Struthio camelus: one gene and its partner. The protein of the gene in region 1 purifies or fractionates together with the protein of each later gene. This does not show direct contact. Links are inferred from orthologs where the notes say so. Each region holds a gene or a part of one and is shown on either strand. Other genes may lie near its edges. The genes, in order: BMS1 and RCL1.

Region 1 (10,816 bases):
AGAATTGTAACAGCTATAGTAACTTAAAACAACTATTATTGAAAGACAACTGAATATTTTTTCCCCCTTTGCTCCTTTCTTTGCTTCATGCCTATTATGGGACTTTGCGTGATGCTTATCTACTTCTCCACCAATTTTTTTTTTTTTTTTAAAAGATTTAGAGCTTTGAAAGAAACGCGTTCCAGGCACCTTGAATTCCTGTGAGACTTTAGTCATACACGTAAGCATTCTGGCAAGGAAACGTGAAGGGAGAAGTAATTTCTTGGGTAGACACAGCCAAGTCTACCTTCAAGTGTACTTTCACATTCCAAACAGAGACCTTGAATCAAACACTACGCATGGGGATTGAGCAGAAGAGACACTGCAGGGAACACAGAGGACTAGTTCACCAGCTGTTGTTAAACTGCTACAATTCAATTTAATAATTCTTTTCCAGAGAAATTCAACATCATCAACAAGCAGGATTATTTAAAATGTTTTTTTCTGTGCTTCAAAAGGTTTTACAGTACAGCAAAGGTCTATGTGTACAATCTGATGCAAGTAGAAATTGAACAGCCAAAGTTATTGGCACAGACCTGCAAAGTACGCCTTCATTTCCTCAAAACCATCTAGGTATATAGTAGAACATAGTCACAGTATCTTAGATAAAATTAAATAATCATTACACACACAGAGCTGATTGTTTAAAGAAGTATGTTAATAAAACCAATAAGGTGCTGCCTTACTGAGATTGCGGAAAAAAGAAAAGCACGTACCTATCTGCAAGAACATACGGGTGAGAAGTTTGCCACGTAAGAGGTCGGAATTTCATAACCGAGATAAAACGCCCTAAATTGTGAACTTCCTGCTTTTGATATTCTCCATGAACCATCCCAGACAGGTAAAATAGCTTAGCACCCTAAACATATTAAAAATACATAAAAAATTAACATTAAACATAAACTAAATAACGATAAAATTGAAACAAAACAAAAACAATTCTAATTTGGATATCATAATTGCAAGTCGTAAGTTAACAATTGGTTCTAGAAGATGGAAACTAATTAATTTACCTTAAAATGAACATTGCCCCCAAATTGTTAGGGAAAACAATTCACAGCCAAAACCTCGTACAAAAGGTTAACCTGTTTTCCAGACCTAGATGCTGATCTTCCTTGCATAATACCTGCAAGTAACAAACATTTTTTCTAGCATCACTTGTTTAGCCTGATAACATCAGAATTGTCCGCTTATAGTATTATTAAAAGGTATAAGAATATAATAAATTTAAATATTTAAGTATTTCCCTACTTTCCAGTTAATTTCCATACTGCAAAATATACATAAAACATCCGTCGAATGTCATACCGGATATACTTCAGTCCAGAATCTGTGTTTTAACTTCTTTTTTGTCTTCTTTAATTGCTTGTTGTTCTTGAACGTATCCAGGTGGGTAAGAACTCCCATGATTTTGGGAAAGCCGTGCACCTGACAAATGTTCAGGAATTCAAATGTTTCCATCTCAAATCCAAAGCTGGCATCAATGAGCATTAAAACCTGAAAGCATAACATCAGCATTTACTTTAACAAGACCATGATGCCTGCATGAGCTAATTTCAAAGATCAAGCTTTTTAAGTCATAAACTTGGGCACCAAAATATTGCATGCGGTTCTGTTCTTTATTTTCATATAACCTGGCTTTTAAATTAAAATGTGCATCTTAGCTGCCTTAAAAGCTAGCAGGGCTTAGAAAAAAATCAAGTCTCTTCTTCCAATCAAATCTCCTTTATGTAGTTTTGATTTGCTTATTCCTTCCAGAAAAACTAAAGAATAAAAATAAATCTCCTCTATGAATACAGTAATATATAGTATCATAATAGGGTGGTGAATAATGTTTACTTGGTGAATTCAGAATATGCAAAAATTGAGCATCTTCCAATATTTGTAGCAATGTCATAGTAAATTAGTAAAAATCCCACCATTTTGGATAACTTTACTTTAGGTGCACTAATGCCTCTACAACAGTCTTCTGGTAAAGTGAGACAAATAAACTTTCTTCACACACTGCGACTACTGTTATGCATCACTAAAAGAGACTGGCATGGGGAAATAGTATCCTATGATCCTAAAATGCATAGGACCAAAAACAATGATCCGCAGGCAATTATGTAATCTCAGCCTCATAACAATAAAACCAAGCAAGATTCTCAGCACAATCATGTGCGTTCAGAATCCTAAACATCTGCCACACCTATTTAGTAAAAGTTTTGCGTGTTTAATACATATCACTCCCTCAAGTAGAAAACATAAGGAGAAAAATATCTGAATCAGCTGATGCATTTTAGTTAACGTTTAGCTAAGGAGCCCAAGACCTAATCAGCTCTGAACAAAAACAGGCTCTAAATCCACATATAAAGTAGAAATTTGAGTAGACAAATGGATTGTGCATTGGGTCCTCAAGATCAGTAGGCTTGAGTCACTGAACTAAAAGCCATGAGTAAAATAAAAGAATGACCACACTCCACTGAAATCAGTCATATTAATACACAAAGATAGACCTGGAGCACATCAAAGAAAAATCAACTACAGAAGCATATATATATATATATATATATATATACACATACTTTCATTTTATACTTTAGTTGAAAACCTCTTGAATTAAAAACGTTTTCAGACTTCACATGATTTGACCACACTGCTTAATGAACAGCCACTTTATCATCTTGGCTTGTCATCTTTTAACGGAAGATCTTTTAACAAGTTGTATTAGCAATAAAGTTTAGATGCGTTTCTCTTCTACCCCATCCTCCCCTCAATTAAAAAAAAAAACCATAAAAACAAATAAACAAAACCAAAAAAGCAGGGCCTATGAGTTACTTGTGTTGCTACAGAAAATCAGGTTTGTTGTCAAGCTTACTTTTGTTCCCTCTGAAACCGACGACTGTTTTGCCTCTGATGGCAATGGGTGGAGAGATCAGAGGTAGGTGCCTAGTCACCTATGTCTAGTCATACATAGCCTAGTCAAAAAGAACTATTTTCAATATAAATTATACTAGAAATCATGTGCTATTGGTTACCTACCAAATCAGCAACTTTAGCCAGGTCAATCATTGTGTTAATGTCACATCCACATTCAATAATAGTTAGTCTGCGCTTTTTACCTGAAAACAAAATTAAGAAAAAGCAAAAACTGAAACAGAGGAAGCAAACTAAGTAGTTCACTTTTTTTTTTTCAGGTCGAACTCCTGAAGTTCCTAAAAACTACCTGAGACTCGGCTTCTTGTCTAGTCAAATTGCCAAACACCTGCCATTGCAGAAGTGCCTTTTTCTACTGTTTATAATTCTGCTAAATTTTAACCTTTTAGTTCAAATTATCAAGTGGACCTCATCTTTTCAAAGAAGATGCTCTGCCTTTTCCAAAAACACAGTTAACAACAACAAAAAAAAAGTTTCTTACTTAAAGAAAACTTCTGGTCACCTCTTCTTTTATCTTTAGTGCCCCAGAGTTAGTACCATGGATTTCATCTTACCAAACACGTCTGTCCGTTTGAAAAGGATTATGAAATATCCCGTCCTGTTCTAGCCTTCAAAAAAGAGTGGATTCCAATATCAAAGGGAAATAGAAGGGAAAATAGAACCAGTAGAAAAGGAAAACCTGCAAAAAATCTGGAATGAAGAAAGTGGACAAGCAGCCAGGAAGAAAAAATAAAAACAAACAAACGAAAAAAAACAGAACCGGGATCCCAAAAGGGTAGAAGGAACAAGTACAGAGGGGCACGTGCCCCAAAACCCAGATCTCATTATTCTTTTGCCATTAGCATGTACGTCTGATAACACAATCACGTGAACTGAAAGTCGTCGGGAACGTGACCACGTCCTAAGAACAAACTCCCCTTCTTTGTCAAGCTCTAAAAGACAAAGAAGGAGTACAAAGCCAGCGTTTCCGTTGCTGCTATCTTTGTTCTTACCTGAAACAATTGTCACAGGACCCCGGATTTCAACCAGCTTTTGCCTTGTGAAGTTCCTAATGAGACATCTTATTAAAGTGCTCTTCCCAACCTTCGGCGGGCCAACCACCACCACCACCACGGGAGGCGGCTCCAAAGGCGCGCGGTCAACCACCGGAATGTGATGCTTCTTCGTCTTCAAATCCTGGGTTCTGGGGAGAAACGCGTAACAAATAAACATAAGAGGAGCTTGGAAACCAACAGCGCCCGCTGTCTGCAGGGTCTTGTGGTAAAAACTCCCCAAGACCTTGCGTACACGCGGGACGCCTATCGAGGCGGAGGGGCTACAGAGGGGCCGGCCAGCTGCGGCCCCCGAGCTCCCCCCGGGGCGCCGGCCCAGGCGGCCGCGACCGGGACCGGGACCGCGACCGGGACCGGGGCCGGGGCCGCCCCCACCCCCCGGGAAGGCCGCGCCGCCTCTGCCCCTACCCAGGGCAAGAGAGGGAAGCCGCCGCCGCCCCTCCGCGCCGTCTCACCGGTGAAAGGCGCGGGCCCTGCGCACCGCGGACTGCACCGCGAAGGCCTTGGGGTTCCTCCTCCGCGCATCCTGCTCCTCGCCGGCCCCCACCGCGCTGAGATGACGCCTCCGCTTCTTCTCGGCCTTGGGGCCGCTCTGCTTGGCCCGGTGCCTCTTCTTCTCCTTCTCCTCCATCGCCCCAACGCCAGGGTCCCCCGCTGCCCGCCCGCCCGCCCGCCCTCCCGAGCCGCCGCCGCCGCCGCCGCCCAGGGCCCCGCACGGTGACCGGGGGGAGCGGAAAGGCCGCCGGCCGGGCACGCACGCCGCCGGCGCCCGCCCGGAAACAGCGGCGGCGCCTCGAGTTCCGGGGGCGGAGCGGGCTGCGGGCTGCCGGGGGGCGGGGGGGGGGGGCGCCCCCTTGGGAGGGGCGGCCGGTGCCCTGGGTCCCGCCGGGCGCGGCGGCGGCGGCCGGGTGTTTCCGCCGCGGGGCGCGGGGACGGGGCGGTTTTCGGAGGGGCGGAAGCGGGGCGAGGGGCGGGTTGGCCGCCGCCAGGCCTGGCGGAGGGTGGGCGGCCGGGCAGCGCCCCGGGGGCTGCCCGCGGGTTTTTGCTAAAAACGGGAACCGTCGGCAAGGGCCACGGGGGCGGGCGGATGCCGAGGCTAGGGAGGGTGCTTAGTGCTACGGGCTCCCGCCACACAGCGGTCGTCTTTTTCCCCGCTGCCAGGGCCACCCCCCGCCCCCGAGAGGTGACCGGGCGTGCGGGAGTCACTTCGGGCAAAGCGAGGAGCGGTTGTTGATCTCGGGCCGGTGCCTGCTGCGCCTTGACGCCAGTCCCCCTGACGTTATTTGTAGGTCCAGGCCCTGCTCCACCACGCCAAGGAGGCCGTTTGCCCTGGGCCGGGGCCGGGCAGCTCCCGAGGCCGGCAGGGGAGCCCCGGGCGGGCGGCAGCGAGGTGGGCGCCGGGGCTGCCCCCGTCGTCGCGGGGGCTGCCGGCCCCCGCCGCCGTTCCCCCTGCGGGAGGACGTTTCGGGGCGGGAATGCGCTTTATAGGCCCCAACAAAGTAAGGGAATAAGTGACTCAGAGGCCTAACAATGGGCTAGGGCCTGGTGGAATACAAAGCGAGTTAGCGTATCTGGAACGCCACGCTCCCTCTTTTTTGACAAGTTACGTGAAAGACAACACAGCTTTAAATATTCAGCGTGCAAAACTCTCCCCTATAACAAAAGCCATCCTAGGGGCAGCAGAAGGTCACACCACTCAACACACCTGGTTACTGCCTCACCTCTTCTTCCTCAGCATAATTTGTTCATGCCAGAGCAGCACTGCTTTTGACATGCATGAATAAACATGATGAATAAACATGTCACCTGTACTCTGGCATTCTCAGACTAATGAGTATTTTTTAAGAATGTGAAATTTTAAAAGAGTTGTCACAGGAGAGCACTGCATCTAGCTGCACTGCACGTATTTTCTTATTTGTGCGCTATATATGCTAGATAGGTCAGTTAAAAGCGACTTGCAACAAAATAAAGACATTCAGTTCCTTACAGAAAAGCTCCATGCTGTGCAGTAAGTAGTTCTCCAAGGGGAGAATGATTTGTCATGGACTTGCTTCTGGGAAGTATTCACAGTGCGTTCCACTTCACCGTTAGAAACGCGAGTTTGATAGTAAGTGAAGTTTCTTCCCTAGACCACATGAAGGGGTGGGAAAGCCCTGTACTACTGCAGCAGCCAGTAGCAACAGCTTAATGCGAAATGCCTAACTGAGCTACCTTTGTCTTGGCCTTGGCGCAGGTTTGGGAGTGTTGACAGAGTAGGACGTCTGCAGACAAAGAGCGGGGGAAACAGAGCAGGATGCACTGCACTGCATGAGACCCAGCTCGCTTAGGCCAATTTCTGTCAGTGACCTCCCAAATATTTACCTGCAGAGCATCATCAAGAGGGAGGGAGCTGGTTATCAGGCACTGAGATAAGTGGGGAGGATACTCCGAGAAGACCCAGTTGCTGCCTCCCACCCCGCTGCTGATTCCAGGGAGGAACCAGGGGCCCCCATCCTTGTTTGTTTAGTGGGAGTGCTATTCTTTTGGATGTCCGTTTTCTCTTCTTCTTTAACTAACTCAACCCTATCTCATAAAGTAAGGCTGTTACCCTGCTACACACTCTCAAACACTACTTTCTGTCAGTTATCTTTCTCGGGTACAATTGTTCTTTGTGCCTGGGAACAATTCTCACTTGCCAGTAAGGAGATCTTAACGAGGGAGAGGGCATATATAAAAAAAAAAAAGTCAATCTTAATAACACAGTTTTAAAGAATTTACTAAGGCAGTCATATATACAACCAGAAATACAGACATTACCTTGTACTTAACTCTCAGAGAAGCCTGTCTGATGGATCTTCCATAATAACATGAGAGAAAAACCTCCTTCCAACTCTACGTTATCAAACATGAAGAAGCTGGGCTGAAAAGTTGAGTGATTTGTTCCCAGCCACAGCTAAAAATTACGGACAAGATAACAACTAATACTCTTGGCTTCTTATATACACATCAATGGACAGCTTCTTCAGAGACACATCAATTTTATTAATAAAATAATGGTCTGTATTTACATTTGATTTTGTTTATAGAACAAAAGAAGCATAATAATTAGGTTAATAGCATTCATCTTAAAATCAAGGCTTACTTAAATTAATCCGGAGCCACACTTTGAGCACAAGAAAGGATTTGCATACAGTCTTCAATATGCTAGCCCCAATATTGCTTTAATACACAGTCATGGCAGCCCTCCCGATCTATACATCCCCCCCCCCAGCCTTCCTTTGTTGAAGCACTATATGATCATGTTGGGCTTCCAGACAGCCAGTGATCTTGAGAAGTCTAAAAATAGGCCCAACATCTGAAGTACAAGGACAGGACTCAATTACATTTTTCTGTGAGTCAAATTCTACAAGTTCTTATCACACACAGGTAGAAAACCTCCTTCAGGTAAATAGTAACTTGTCTGGAGGGTTTCTTATTAAATTAACACAATTCATTTAAAATATTAATACAATCAGAAAATCGGAAAAAATTATACAAAAAGGAAACTACAAAAATATTGCCTTTCAAAAGGCTACGTATTTGGTCATTTTTAAATAAAAACACTATAAGATCAGCAGTGCACTTAATCAGGAGCACACCTAAAACACTAACACACCCTGTGACCCATCCCCTTCCACCACCAAGGATGCTTTTCCCATGTCTGTATCCCTTTCATGTTAGAATTTCTCCACCAAAAGCTGTAAATATAACATCTGTTTTCTACAGATTTCTTCAAGTGAATTCTGACCACGATGTTAAAGTGAATTCTGACCAGGATGGAAACAGAAAACCAGTACAGTAAGGCCATAAAACCCATTCTGTAGTCCCCAGCCTCCTGGCAGAATGAATCCAATCCAGTTTGAACATCAAAGACTAAATCTTCACTATTGAAACGTTTGTGAACAATATGCAAGCTGAGCTGTACAGGTCAATGTGTGGGTACCAACAATCAAACGCACGCAGGAACACTGTATGCAGCTTGGTGACAACTGAGGTAGGTTTGGGAAGGGTGGGGGGGGGGGGGGAAGGAAGAACGATGCACACGCACAGAGCAGGTTATTCGCTTGTGTGCCTCGCAAAGTTTGCTTATCTTCCTTCCCTTCCCTTCCTGACAGCACACAAAATACACAGCAAGTATTCCCTACTTGGACCTGCAAAACCTCTAGCTGCTTTGGATGAAACTGCCAATCAAACAAAAAACATTAAGTTTTCATCAGGCCAACAGACTCTGTCACCGTTTCATGTGTGACCCAAATGACAGGTTGAACTGTAGCCATCAAAAGTAAAAAGGTAACTTTTTGGCCCACCTTGCTCTCCATTTTGCTCATTCTCAAACACCGAATCTAAACCAGTTCCCCAAATTTCATTTCTCATGCCCAGCCAATAAGGGTCATAGTCATTTACTGCCTCCAGCAGCTGCTGCCCAAATGACGGGGCTGGAGGAGAAAGCGTCCCTTGATATCTCCCCTCATGTTTTGCAAGTACCGAAGGGGGACTAGCATCATGACCTGCAACCAGGGATGGACTGTGCCTCCTCTGCTCAAGCTCAAGCTTCACATTAGATGCTCCTTCACCATAATCTGAAATGAAACCCTTACCCGAAGGAGAGGTGTTTGACTTGATATACAAATAGTTCTCATCGCCCAGGCCTTGATTAGCATTTAAGTAGTTTAAAACAGGCCTCCCACACATGTTCTCTTTTGCTGCCAGGTACTGGTGATCTTCTATACATGACTGGAAAATATCTGCCTCTGTGTAGTAGTTTTCAGGGAAAGATTTCTTCAGGTATGGATATTCCTGCACTTGCTGCACAGGGAGCGAGAGCTGGGCAGAACTCCCTATGGTTCCCACACTGAATTGGACCCCTTTTGCCATGTGGTCCAAATCGAAGTGAGAAGGGGTCTGACTGTGGCCTCCAAATGCGTTATCCAAGCTCTTGAAATGAGTATCGAGCCTTGCGTACTGCGGCCCCGCATAGGGTAGCGGCTGACCAGAGAAGTTCTGACTTCCCCCGGGTAGACCGGGCTGCAGGCCGAAGGGGCTCGGATCTGGCCCGAGACCGTGCGCCACTCGGGGCCCTTCTCGGCAGCCGCCACCGAAGTGGGTCAGCTTCTGCTTGCCACCCACAGGTCTGGCGTAGGGGGAGGCTTCGCTCTTCTTGTGGTTCAGCTGCCGGGCTCGCCTGTTCTGAAACCACACCTGGGGAGAGGGAGCAGACGGCAATGAGCAGCGGCGACCGCCCGAAGGGGCCCCTCGCCGTTAGCCACTCGCAGCATCGCCAGTGAGAGCGCAAGCAGTCCCCGGTGCCCCCAGCGACACCGGCGGGCCGCCGCGCCGCGCCGCTCTGCCGGCTGCGGCGAGGCCACCCTCGACGGCCGCGGCCCCGGCCCCGGCCCCGGGCCCGGCTCGCCCCTTCCCTCCCGCCGCCGACCTGTATCCTGGACTCGGGGATGTCGGTGAGGCCGGAGAGGCGCTCCCGCACGGCGATGCCGGGGTAGGGGTCCTCCTCGAAGGTCTTCACCAGCAGCTCCAGCTGCGCCTTGCTGAAGGTGGTGCGCTTCCGCCGGCCGCCCTCCCGCGGGGCGCCGGGGCGCCGCGGGGCCTCGCCGGGCAGCGCGGGCGGCGAGGGGGCGGCGGCGGCGGCGGGCGGCGGCGTCGAGGCGCCGCGGCCGCGCCCGGCCGGCTCCGCGCGGGGCTGGGGCCCCTGCGCCGCGGGCCGCGGGGCGCCGGCGGGGCTGGGCGGCCCCCGGGGCGGCGGGCTGGGGCCGCCACCGGCAGCGGCACCGCCACCGGCAGCGGGGCTGCGCTGGCGGCCGGCGGGCTCCATGCGGCGGCTCGGCGGGCGGCGGCGGGGCCGGCCCGGCCGCTGCCGCCTTATGAGGCCTCGGTGGCGGCGACCCCCACCCGGCGGGCAGGGCAGGGCCGGGCCGGGCCGGGTCGGGCCGGGCCGGGCCGGGCCGGCGGCCGCCGGCGGTGACTCAGAGGTGCCCCCACCTCCATTGTCCTCCCATCACCAAACACAGCGCGGTCGCGCCCCGCCGCGGAGCCGCCGTGTCGCCCAGCGCCTGCAGCCCCCTATTCCCCCAGCGCCACCGCAAACCCATCGGGAGGCTCCTTTCAGTCTAATCGAGAGTCGATAATTGAACGGAGTTATCTCTGCGCTTCAGCTCGGCCTTCGGAAAGGGCTCCCCATGCTTTCCAACAGTAAAGGCAATCTGGCCTCCCCATGGGATTGCTCCAAATAGGCCAGGCTCCCTTGAGCGCGTGGAGATCCCTCAACAGCGAAGGGATAGGGGGCTGCTCAGCTCGTCCCTTCTCTCGAAACCATCTCGGCTCTTACAGCATGCAGAAAACAATTCCTTGCCTTTCCTATTTAACTAGACAGCCGCACTCCTATTCCTTCCAGTGGGAATTCTGTCATTAATAAAGCAGCTTTACTAGACATTGCATCAAAAATCACTGCTCATGCTAAAGGTCATGGCCACACTCCAGTGCACTTCACAGTGACTTTGAGGAGAAGTTTCCCTCCAGAGCGTGCGCTGAAGAGCTCAGCACAACAGCACAACCTTTTCCTCATACTTTTTTTTTTTTTTTTAATGCAGACAGCTCTGCTCATCCAAGTCATGTACAGAACAAGCAAGCCTTCTGCTTTCGGTCCAAGGTGAGATCATGATCGAAGCATTAATTCAAAAGAGAGGCCAGAAGTATTATTTAGAGAGCCAAGAGTGACAAGGACTTACAAGGAGCAAGAGCTGTAATGCCTAAAAGGATTAGATGTTAGAAAAGGA
Region 2 (10,694 bases), on another chromosome or scaffold:
CAGCCCTGTGACAGACTGCGTATTTAAAAAATAATGTATTTCAGTACAATTTGGCTTATAGCATGGCTCCAAGTATGAAAAAAGCTCAAATGGCAGTCTTCCTAACCTCGCCCTTTCTGTTCTCAGCTGGTCCAAAATATTGCACTTTACAATCTAGGTTGACTCCTAAGCTTACCAAAAGAAGGTGTATCGCTTTGTATCTTCAGCTCTAAAAAGGCTTCATTCACAGAGATGAGCAAACATTGCAAATCTAGTGTCACATTTGAGCTGTAGGAAAAGTTATTTTCTCCTGCCAGTTAGTTGTTATCATGTGCTTCACATCACCATCCCTGTATAACTTGTAATGCAGTCAGAAAAAGGTGTTCCCCCCGCCCTGTTTGTGATATTAGAGCAAACAGCCTTACGAAGAGAATTGTGTGACTATGTACACACAGGGCACAAAATTTGGGACAGATGTTTCGTCAAAAAGAGCCAAAGCTGGCATTTATTAGTATTCCTGTTGGTAGTTTGCGAAACATTTACCTTGAGGGTGAACTACAGCAGTTAATTAAACTAATCAACAGCGAAGAGAGCTGTTTAAAGTTGCTTTAAGTAGGAAGTCATCAGAGGCAAAACGAATTGGAGATGAGATAAACCAAGTAGACAGTATATTGTTACTGAGAATCCCTACGCATAAGGACTCCTGAACTGTCTCGACCTTACCACACGGTACATTCCAATTTTTAAGTGAAGTTACTACGTCCCAATTAACAAGGTTCACGGGCGAGACCTTTTCAGTTATGAATGGCTCTATCAACTTTTTTTTGGTAGTTTTACATGATACATTGGAAGATTAACTTTGCTTCAAGGCTCGACTTGCCTCCCCATAAAGATTCCCATTCCAAATCCATCATATGTATTTGATTCAAACAAGCAGCTGCTCTAACACCTGAAAGACTGAGCTCTTGAATACTGTTGCCCATTAACACTGTACACAAGAAGTTCTCTGTCCAGCCATAGCTGGGGTTATTATACTGATTTTGCAGGAGAGTCCCCTTATTTCAGTAAACTCAAGTTTACCAAAGGCTTCTTTACCAGTTACGTATGCACCATCATCCCATGTTTGCATGGGTAAAGCATAGCAGTTTCTTTGAGGTAAAACGTAAGGCAAGAAGGAGGTTTTCTGATGTTTTGACTGACAGCTACATCAGTTGTGTTCCTTTAGGTCTAGTCATGCCCCTACAGATTTGGGGATAGGGGGAAAATGAAAGCCCTCTACCAGTTCTTCAGAATGTAGGCAGAGACATTCCTTTATTACCTAATAATCCTTTATTATAATATTTCTTTATTATGCACAGCACTGTTAGCCTTCCATAGCCTTACAGACAGCGCATTGAGACCATATACACCCTGATAGTCGCACCTTCCACCTCTTGCTTTTGGTCCAACAGGCTTTCTCAGCAGGAACTTCCTATTCTCACTTCCCTGCTTCCAGCTAGGGAGTTACTCTTTCTTCTAAAGAAAAGAGGGACCTTTTCCCTACATTGCTTACAGTCTGCTCACAGATGGCCAGGGAGCCTCCCCATCACCTCTTAAGAACTTCACAAAGCCAGTTCCATTAAGGGAATTGAACCCGCTACCACTCTCCCCAGTCTTCAGCCTGTTCTGCTCAGGTAAGTTCCACGTTGCTATCCTAGCTAATCCTTGAAAGACCCACCCACTCCTCCCTGTTGCGCCTTTCTTTAGTTGTCCCCATGACACATACCCCACCCCCTTCTAAATAGATCCAGCCCTCCTTTGGATCCTCCTTGTCTGACTGGAAATGCTGTACTGACTCACCACGTGCGCTGACCTGACAGTTATAAGATCTGACTTCTAGTAGCTCTGGTGCTGATGTCGGTTAAGTGCTTCTCAAATTTTTCTTTCATCATGTCTCTCTGCTGGAATTTCAGAGGAGAAAAGCTAGTGCACATAGCACAGTCACAATCAGATCTTGGTTAAGGCTTAAAAGTGCCAGTAATAGAAATAATAACATAACACAGAAAGACTCGACACTTCTGTAATATTGTATTATTTCCCTTGCTCAGCCAAGGAATTTCAGTTGGTTGCTTCCTCACCTCAGGTTACTAAGGAGGAGCTACTGCAAGATAAGACTCCAGTTCATTAAAAAATATATAAAGAAAAAAGAAAAAAGAACAGCAGCAACTTTTCTTCACAGTTCTTGTGGAGATAAGCGTATCAAAGGGGATGCGAATAGCTCGTGAGCCTCTCATGAGTTAGCACCAATTATCTGATGTGGATTCTCACTGCTAAAAAGTCTGCACACATATAGAATTGATTTTATTTCAAAAAGACCTTTGTAAGACGGATAAAAGGCCTTGCTGAGTGTCTACTATGATGTCCTGGTGACTGTAATCTTGCAATGCTCCTTACTACAATAATGAATGTGTGACTAAGCAGGTGAAAAGTGGTTCTTAGCTGGAGTCAACATAAAGGACAGAAGGAAAGATTAACACCACAGAAATCAAATGTTAAACTTTTCCTGCACTCTCATCCACCATAGCAGCTCAGGGACAAGCAAAACTGTGACTAGCTCATCACTGACCATTTTTGCTGTGATTCAGAGGCATATTTTACCTGCAATCTGAAAGAAAGCAGGAAAAAATAAATGTAGATGTGTGGGGGTGTATTTGCACTGCTTCCACAGAAGTTGCAATGCAGTTTCCATGGCTGCTAGTAAAGACAAAGATTATCTTCTGAGGATCGTATTAGCCAAATTGTAACAAATATTACACTAGAGGTAGTTTGGAGGTTGGTTTCTCCAATATACTAATGATTCCTATCAACACTAATCAGAAAAGCTTTGCCAGTCAGCAGCTAACAAGAGGATGTCTAGTCATAGTTGCTGCGAAGAGTCCCTGTCACGGAAAAAAAAAAAATTCAGTCTCTGGGAAACAACCTATTCAGAAAAAGTGTTATCAGGTTTTATGGAAAATATCAGTCCTTTTCTCTTCCGGCCTGTGTGCTCTCACAGCATGTGGTCCTTCACAGTAAGAGCATCAAGAAAAGGCTGAGCTCCTCTTTTGTTCTGTGCTACAGGGATACTGAACACACAGAGCTGCTTTAGTTCACAACAGCGGCTGCTTCACCTTACGTTCAGCCAAATACCCAAGTAGTATTAAGAGGTTTAAAGCCCCTTTTGATGTCTTCCTCCCTGAGTATATCTTCTGAGTTGCTGTATAATCCTAGAGGATCTTAAGGCATAGATGTAACTTATGCTCTATCTAGAACATGTCTACATTTTATAGAAATATCTTACATTCAACAGGATTTTTCTGCAGAAGGATAGCTTTACAGAGAATACAGGAGAGAATGAGGAACAGGAGTGCTGTGTACAGTAGAAATAAAAAAATGGTGGACCTCTCCATTCCCTTGTAACTCTGGATGAATACACTGTATCAGTTCATATGATTAGGGATGAATTTTTTTGCTCTAATTGCAGAGAGTGTCACTGAGAACAAGAAGCCAGTGTTTCTTGCATTAGAGATGATTGTCATTGTTTTGCATCAGAGATGATGCACTCAAGATGACTGTCAGGGCCTTAAGTGCACCAGCAGGCCTCAATGGCCCTCGCCAACCTCACCTGGGACCTTCACCCACGTACTCTGTCCATGGGCTGAGGAAACTCTCTTTAAGCTCAGGTCTGGGCCTTCAGTCCTTGCTTGAGCTATGCTGTAGGTGTACCTATCTCCAGTCCCACCTCCGGGGTGGGCCTCAGGCCTATGTCATAAGCCACAGATACACATCTGCCTCCAGTCCTGTCTCTTAGATGGACCCCTTGTTGTAGGTAGCTTGTCTCTAGTCCTGGCTCCTGGATGGACACCTCAGACTTGTATCATAGCATTGTTCCTCGCTCCACTGCCCGCTGTGCCTGACAGGACTCACTGGATGGATCCTGGACCTGACAGATAATTTTCCCTTGAGCGCGACTGTCAATGGACCCTATCACAAGCATCCTGCTCTGCCCACCATGTTCAGGTGCTGTGGAACTGCACCCTGGTCTGTGCCCCCCCTGTGCTGTAGTCACCCTCAGCCCCGGGTTCACTCTCCCTTGAGGAGCAGCCCAGCTCTTCCAGCTCCCTGACAACAATCTGTCGTCCACAGCAGCATACAGATTGTATTTAACCAAGGATGAGATGTGACATGAGACATCAGCAAACACTCCATTCATAATGAAAAGAAAGCTACAAAGATGCAGCTACAGATGCGTGCTATAAAGCACGAGAGAAACGAAATGGAGTGTATTCGTCGACACAATTCAGTGGGGATCACTCTCACCCCTTTTCTTCTCTTTTATAAAACAAGAAACTTCTTTCCCTGTGTACATAACACAGTCTAGCCATTAACCCTGTTACGTCTACTGTAATTCATGTACCTCTTGAAACAGACTGAAAGCCTCCCTCGGCCTCTTACGTAAGGGACGTTGGGTTGTGCCGCTACAGTTGAGGGAACAGCTTGGGCAGAAGATCAGAAATCAGACCAAATTCCTCCAAGTGTGGAGCATGAAGCTGGCATCTCTGCTTAATTTTCCTTTAACCAGTACAATATTTCATCTGAACAAGGCAGCCAGGGATAAACTACCGAAAAGAATTGTCTGAAGAAAGATAGATTAATTTAGTCTTCTCTAGGGAGAGTATCCTGATCTCGTACCACATTTCATTCCAGGATTTAATTATTCACCTGTCAAAAAACAGAGGACTCAAATGTCCCAGAGAAGTTGAATTGTTCAGAAATAAAGCACGGCATAACAGCACGGATAAAACATAGAGCCACGTAACAGTTAGATAAACTCCAACCTCCAGCAAAAAATAAGCATATACAGCACAAACGCTCAAAGAGGCAATAACTACTACTTAAATATCGCTTAAGCTGTGCCTCCGATAACAGCGCTTCACGCAGGAATCGCAATTTATTACTGTGGCAAACTCCCTACGCTGGCAAAGCCGTGCTTGCCAGGAGAAGCCGGCGCACCAGCAGCGCGCAGCCCCGCCGGCACAGCCGCAGAGGTGGCGCACACAGCTCCCTCCTCACTGCCAAACTGCCGCTCCCCAGCTGGAGCTGACTGCGATTTAACAGGTTATTCCGACGGCTCCTACCTTCGCTTTTACTACTCTCGCCAGGAAACCACCCCGGGGGAAACAACGCCGCTCACGCTTTACGGACTGACTCCGGCGGGGCGGCGGCAACGGCCGCCGCCGCCCAACGGCCGCCGCCGCCCAACGGCCGCCGCCGCCCAACGGCCGCCGCCGCCCAACGGCCGCCGCCGCCCAACGGCCGCCGCCGCCCAACGGCCGCCGCCGCCCCGCCCCGCCCCCTCGCCCTGTGACCCCCGCGCTGTCGCGCGCGGCGCTTCCTGTTCCCAACCACGTGGGCTCGGCGGGCGGCGGCGGCGGCGGCGGCAGGAGCGGGACGGCCAGCGCAGGGGGAGCGCAGCGCAGGGGGAGCGGGCGGCGGGGGCGGCATGTCGGGCCGCTCGCAGTGCCTCAGCTACGCGGGCTGCAACTTCCTGCGGCAGCGCCTGGTGCTGTCCACGCTGAGCGGGCGGCCGCTGAAGATCCGCAAGATCCGCGCCAAGGAGGAGGACCCCGGCCTCCGCGGTGAGCGGCCGGTACCGGCAGCGGCGCCGGCAGCGGCGCCGGGGCGGGCAGGCGGGCGGAGGGGCCGGGCACGGCAGGGCAGTGCAGCGCAGCGCCGCAGCAGCGGCCCGGCCGCCTGGTCGTGCTTGCCCGGCGCGGCGGCGGCAGCGGCGGCGGCGAGGAGGCACCGGGGACGAGCCAGCCCGCGGCGGGGAAGGGGTGCGGGCACCGTGCGGGGAACGGCCGCGGGCACAGCGCCCTGCTCTCCCCGAAACCCCCACCCGGGCGGGAGGACGAGCCGGGGTGTCCTGGGGGTGCGAGGGTAACGGGGGTGTCCTGGGGGTGCGAGGGTAACGGGAGTGTCCGGGGGTGCGAGGGTAACGGGGGTGTCCTGGGGGTGCGAGGGTAACGGGGGTATCCAGGGGGTGCGAGGGTAGCAGGGGTATCTGGGGGTGCGAGGGTAACGGGGGTATCCAGGGGGTGCAAGAGTAACTGGGATATCCAGGGGTACAAGGATAACTGGGGTGTCCAGGGGGTGTGAGGGCAACCAGAGTATCTGGGGGTGTGAGGATAAGTGGAGTATCCAGGGGGTGTGAGGGCAACCGGGGTATCCAGGGACAAACAGATTATCTGGGGCCAGGACAGTGCGGTTGAGCGGGGCAGAGTGCTGGTGGCAAAATTTCCAGGGGCTGTGCCTGGGGCGCGAGATTCCCTCCGCTTTTCCTCCGTAGCGACGGGGATGGAGCCGGCAGCGGCCGAGGGGTCTCCTGCCCGCAGGAGGGAGCAGTGCGGAGCGTGTGGGGCCTGGGGATGTGCGGCGAAGGGGCCCGGACGCCCCGGGGATGGTGGCAGAGACCAAGGCAGAGCGAGCGGGTGGCTGGGGAGGCGAACGCCTTGTGGGCAGCTTTAGTCATGTGTGCCGGCGGTGGTGGGATTGGACGTGGCCTCGAAAGCCTCTGGACCTTCCCGTGCGGCTGCGTTTGCCCACTCACAGGCCTGCCTTGTTTGTGGGGCAGACTGCATCAGGTAACTGGGTAATTCTGGCTTCCCTGCCCCGCTGAGCACTTCTGCAGAGGGCTGGCTCTGTGCTCCCAGGCCACTCCAGCTGGTTTTCCTTGCAGTGAGGCATCGGGCATTGCAGGCAGGGCGACAGGGGGAGATCCCGAGGGTGAGCCTGAGCCACTGGACTGCACATGGACTACATGGCCAGCTCCAGCACGGGACAGTTTCTGTATAAAAGTGGGCTCTCTGCTCAAAAGCTGCAGGACTTGCTGGCCCTGCAGCCGTCCGTGGTTGCCCTGTACCCAACGGCTTTCTTTCTGTCTCTTTGTTGGAGCCAAAGTTCCAGCAATTTTACTGGATCGGAGTTTATTCCTTGACTTTTATCTGTTCTATGGCCAAATAGGAGTAAAGGTAACACGTTACAATACTTCTGCAGTTGGTAATAAGTAATATCTAGTCATTCCTACGGCCATGACAGTGGCAGTCAGGAGGGCCAGCTATCTCAGATACATCACTTAGTTCTTTTTTGGGCAAGCTGCAAAGTGGAGAACAGGCCTAGCACCTGCACAGGTACTCCTGAGAAGGCTTCAGTTCGTAGCCAGAAGTTTTCCTGTTAAACTTTCAAAACACTCTTATGTACTTAACATTTACCAAGACCCCAAGTATTTATTACTACCATGGAGTGTTTGCTTGTGATGAAGGTAGTTTTTGCTATTTTTTTAAATAGGTGAGTTATATTTTCCGAGCATGGGTTAAAATACAAACTGTGACTGTAGCAGAAAAAGCACAATAACAAACCCTAATTAGTGTTGATATTACAGACTCACAGAATCGCAGAACGGTTGAGGTTGGAAGGGACCTCTGGAGATCATCTAGTCCAACCCCCCTACTGAAGCAGGGTCCTCCAGAGCACATTGTGCAGGATCATGCCCAGGCAGGTTTTGAATATCTCCAGCGAAGGAGACTCCACAACCTCTCTGGGCAACCTGTTCCAATGCTCCGTCGCCCTCACAGGAAAGAAGTTTATTAAACATGCAGCGCTCTCTGCTTTTCATAGCTAGAGCCTTTGCAAGGAAAACTTTTATATCAGTTTGTCCCTGAAGAGGGTAGCAGCTATTCATGAGGATGTGCTTCCTTCCTGGAAGTGATTTCAGAACTATCATGTAAAGCTGAGCGTACAAATTCTCAGGGCAGAGAGCAGAACCAGTGCTGTGTGTCTGCGTCATCAAGCATACTAGGCTTGATTAACAAACTGTAATTCCTGCAAATAGCTCATTGGTTTAAATGTTTATTGCATCCTAGAAGCATACATAGGAATAAAAATCTGATAGCTGGTTAAGGACTACTGTAGCATTACTGCTAATGAAGTTGTACAACCAATTCACAATTACGCAGGTGCTGGTGGCTCTTAAAATTAACTGATTTTTGAGTTATATTTAAACTGTATTTTCCTTGATAGTGAGGGTCTGCCAACTTAGGATACCTAAATACTAGAATACTAACATTCCTTTTTTCATGCTTGTTTCTTTCCCGTGGCTCTGAGAGAGATCCTGCACAAGCAGGAGAAACTCAGTATTTAGTTTCGTACAAGGTGCTACAATGCACATTCTAAGACGAAAGAGAGGTAACGGGAAGACTTGTATTTCTCTAGCCTTTATTGCGTCATTAATGGTTTGGGAAAAGTCAAAAGTCTGTGGACAGATATCATGACGGTGTTTTTGGAACAGCTGTATACTTTACATCTGAAGGTCAGCTTCTTTTCAAATAAGACTTCTACAAAAAATAATGGGAAGCTTCTCAGGCCTAAATGAACAGGGTCCTGTTTGCTAGAATTTGTGCATATGTGCAAAGGTGACCTTTCTACTAACTAAAAAGGCTTTATGCTGGGCACCAGTGACCCCTCAGACCACTGTGATCAGATGTGCCAGCTCCCATACCTCGCTGTAAGCAGGGGAGAGCGACATGGCTCATCCCATGGTCACATCTGGGTGCACCTGCACTGATTTGAGAGGCCCATGAGACTCAAATTTAGGCCTCTGCATTTATAGTCAAGTGCCCTTTTCCATGTGGCAGAATTGCACTGCAACAATCAGAAGAGTGAGGGTAGTCTTACTGTCTTCCAGAGAGTGTCATGGATGGCCGGAAAGGGAAAACGTATAGGTATGGTATGTTATGTGTTGAAGTTTCTTATTGTTTTCAGGAACATGTTTAAGAAACTTTAAAATTCTTTTTTTTTTGCCTCCTCAGATTTTGAAGCAAGTTTTATTCGCCTCATTGACAAAGTGACCAATGGCTCTAGGATTGAAATAAACCAAACAGGTGAGAGCTTTCTTCTCGTCTTCCTCTGTGCTGGTCTACCAGACTCTATCATGTGCTGCAGTAAAAGAAAAGTTTTGGCTTGCCAGGGCTGAGTATGTTAGATAGCTTGGTACGAAAGACCAAGCAGACCAGACATAATCAGGCTGAGAAGTTCTGTAGCGGTAGATCACAGGCAAGAAGAGCATGTTCCACCATAATGCAGCGAGTCAAGGAAAACGCGTTGCTCGAGACTTTAAATTTTCTGTTCTGTTTGATATGCAGGATTTCCTAGTGGAGGAAGATTCCTCTGAACCAGAAGGGGTTTTTGTAGAAGGCAAGGTTTGTACTTGCCTAGTCATGCTCGAAAGAGGAGTTAGCTGGACGGAGAAGCTTCCGACGGAGATATCTCAACGGGTTTTTGTTCTCTTGTATAATGTTACAGGGACTTCTAAGAGTTTCATAGGGTCAGTAGAGCAGATAACCTACCACTAGGTGCGCTGGGATGGCAATGACCTGCTCTGGTAAAGGTTCGGCTGCTGTGGAAGTATGACAGTGGCCTCCGTAAGCATTTTTTGTCATGATTAAAGGATTCTTGACATGGAAGAAGTGTGCTGGAAGCGCTACCTGCCTCATATGTTCTTTTGTCTCCAGTTTGCTGGTACTCATCACTGCAAAGTATCTTTACGCTGTAGTCGTGGCTGGTGCGCTGACAACACTCTGATACGATGTCTTCCCCCAGGTACAACCTTGTATTATCAGCCTGGTCTTTTGTATGGAGGTTCCCTGGAACATGACTGCAGCCCCAGTCGCAGTATTGGCTATTATTTGGAAAGTCTGCTCTGTCTAGCACCTTTCATGAAACACCCATTAAAGATTGTCCTGAGGGGAGTAACAAATGATCAAGTAGATCCTTCGGTAAGTAATGAAAATTTATTAAGTGGCTAAAGAGGATTTTTTTCCTTCTTCATCTCAATCGAAAAAAGAAAGTCTCCAAATCCTATTGCATTTTGTAATTTCTCACAACCAGCAGTATCTAGTATTATTGTATGAGCCAGCAAGCTCTCTGAATCAAACAAGCATCTTCTGGTCTGTCCACTTTCTGCTTCGTACTCCAAACTGTAGTTTGTAATCCATGTTTGGACGTTCATTTCTGGGCAGCTTCTCCTTTCTTCAGTGGAAGCTCCCTCTGAATGTGATGTGAAGCCCTGCCATAGGTTTGCTTCTCCTGTTCTCTTAAAATTTAGATGTATTATTCCCCCATTGCACACGTTTATTTACTGTAAAAAGAGGAAATTGTCTATAAAATGCAGCGCAGCAAGGAAGGAATCCTTCCTTACTGTAGATGCCAGGCGTAGTCATACCTGTGCTACCATGAGGCCTTCTGTTACAGATAAAGGTCACACGCCAATAATGAAATTACGGTAGCAGAAGTCCTGCCTGTAATTTATTTAGCTGCTTTCTGGTTACAAGCAGCTCGCAGAAGGAAGACTGTCTCTTTCGTAAGGAAGCTGAAATGCATGATAGATGAAATGACTCTATGAAATTAGCTATGTTTGCCTTGAATTATGTTAGCGATGATTTAAAATCTTTCATCTTGACAGTCTTGTTACAAAAATGAGCTATGGGTAACATAGGGTTAAAACTCTAAAGTTATGGTTAGGGATTGCTTGCTTTTTTTTTCCTTTAAAGTAATGGCTCTTGGAGAGCAGCTCTGCTGTTTGCCTTTCAGGTGGTGATAGGAGACTGCGTATTTTCTTGTGAGTAGATTAAAGGAATACT

Evidence for each region.
Region 2: the proteins of BMS1 (region 1) and RCL1 purify together in Homo sapiens (co-immunoprecipitation; 4 studies listed by BioGRID and IntAct, with this or other methods). This does not show direct contact. The link is inferred for Struthio camelus from reciprocal best matches to the Homo sapiens genes BMS1 and RCL1.

The regions. Positions count from the first base shown.
Region 1 is NC_090948.1:30,463,366-30,474,181, reverse strand, and holds the start of BMS1 (ribosome biogenesis protein BMS1 homolog), read right to left. Parts: upstream 4,789-10,816; 5' UTR 4,642-4,788; coding exon 4,466-4,641; intron 4,142-4,465; coding exon 3,951-4,141; intron 3,144-3,950; coding exon 3,064-3,143; intron 1,537-3,063; coding exon 1,348-1,536; intron 899-1,347; coding exon 756-898; intron 1-755. UniProt on the Homo sapiens protein: GTPase required for the synthesis of 40S ribosomal subunits and for processing of pre-ribosomal RNA (pre-rRNA) at sites A0, A1, and A2.
Region 2 is NC_090982.1:18,267,626-18,278,319, forward strand, and holds the start of RCL1 (RNA 3'-terminal phosphate cyclase-like protein), read left to right. Parts: upstream 1-5,458; 5' UTR 5,459-5,500; coding exon 5,501-5,636; intron 5,637-8,740; exon of another isoform or gene 8,741-8,752; coding exon of another isoform or gene 8,753-8,777; intron 8,778-8,864; coding exon 8,865-8,936; intron 8,937-9,654; coding exon 9,655-9,830; intron 9,831-10,694. UniProt on the Homo sapiens protein: As part of the small subunit (SSU) processome, it plays a role in 40S-ribosomal-subunit biogenesis in the early pre-rRNA processing steps at sites A0, A1 and A2 that are required for proper maturation of the 18S RNA.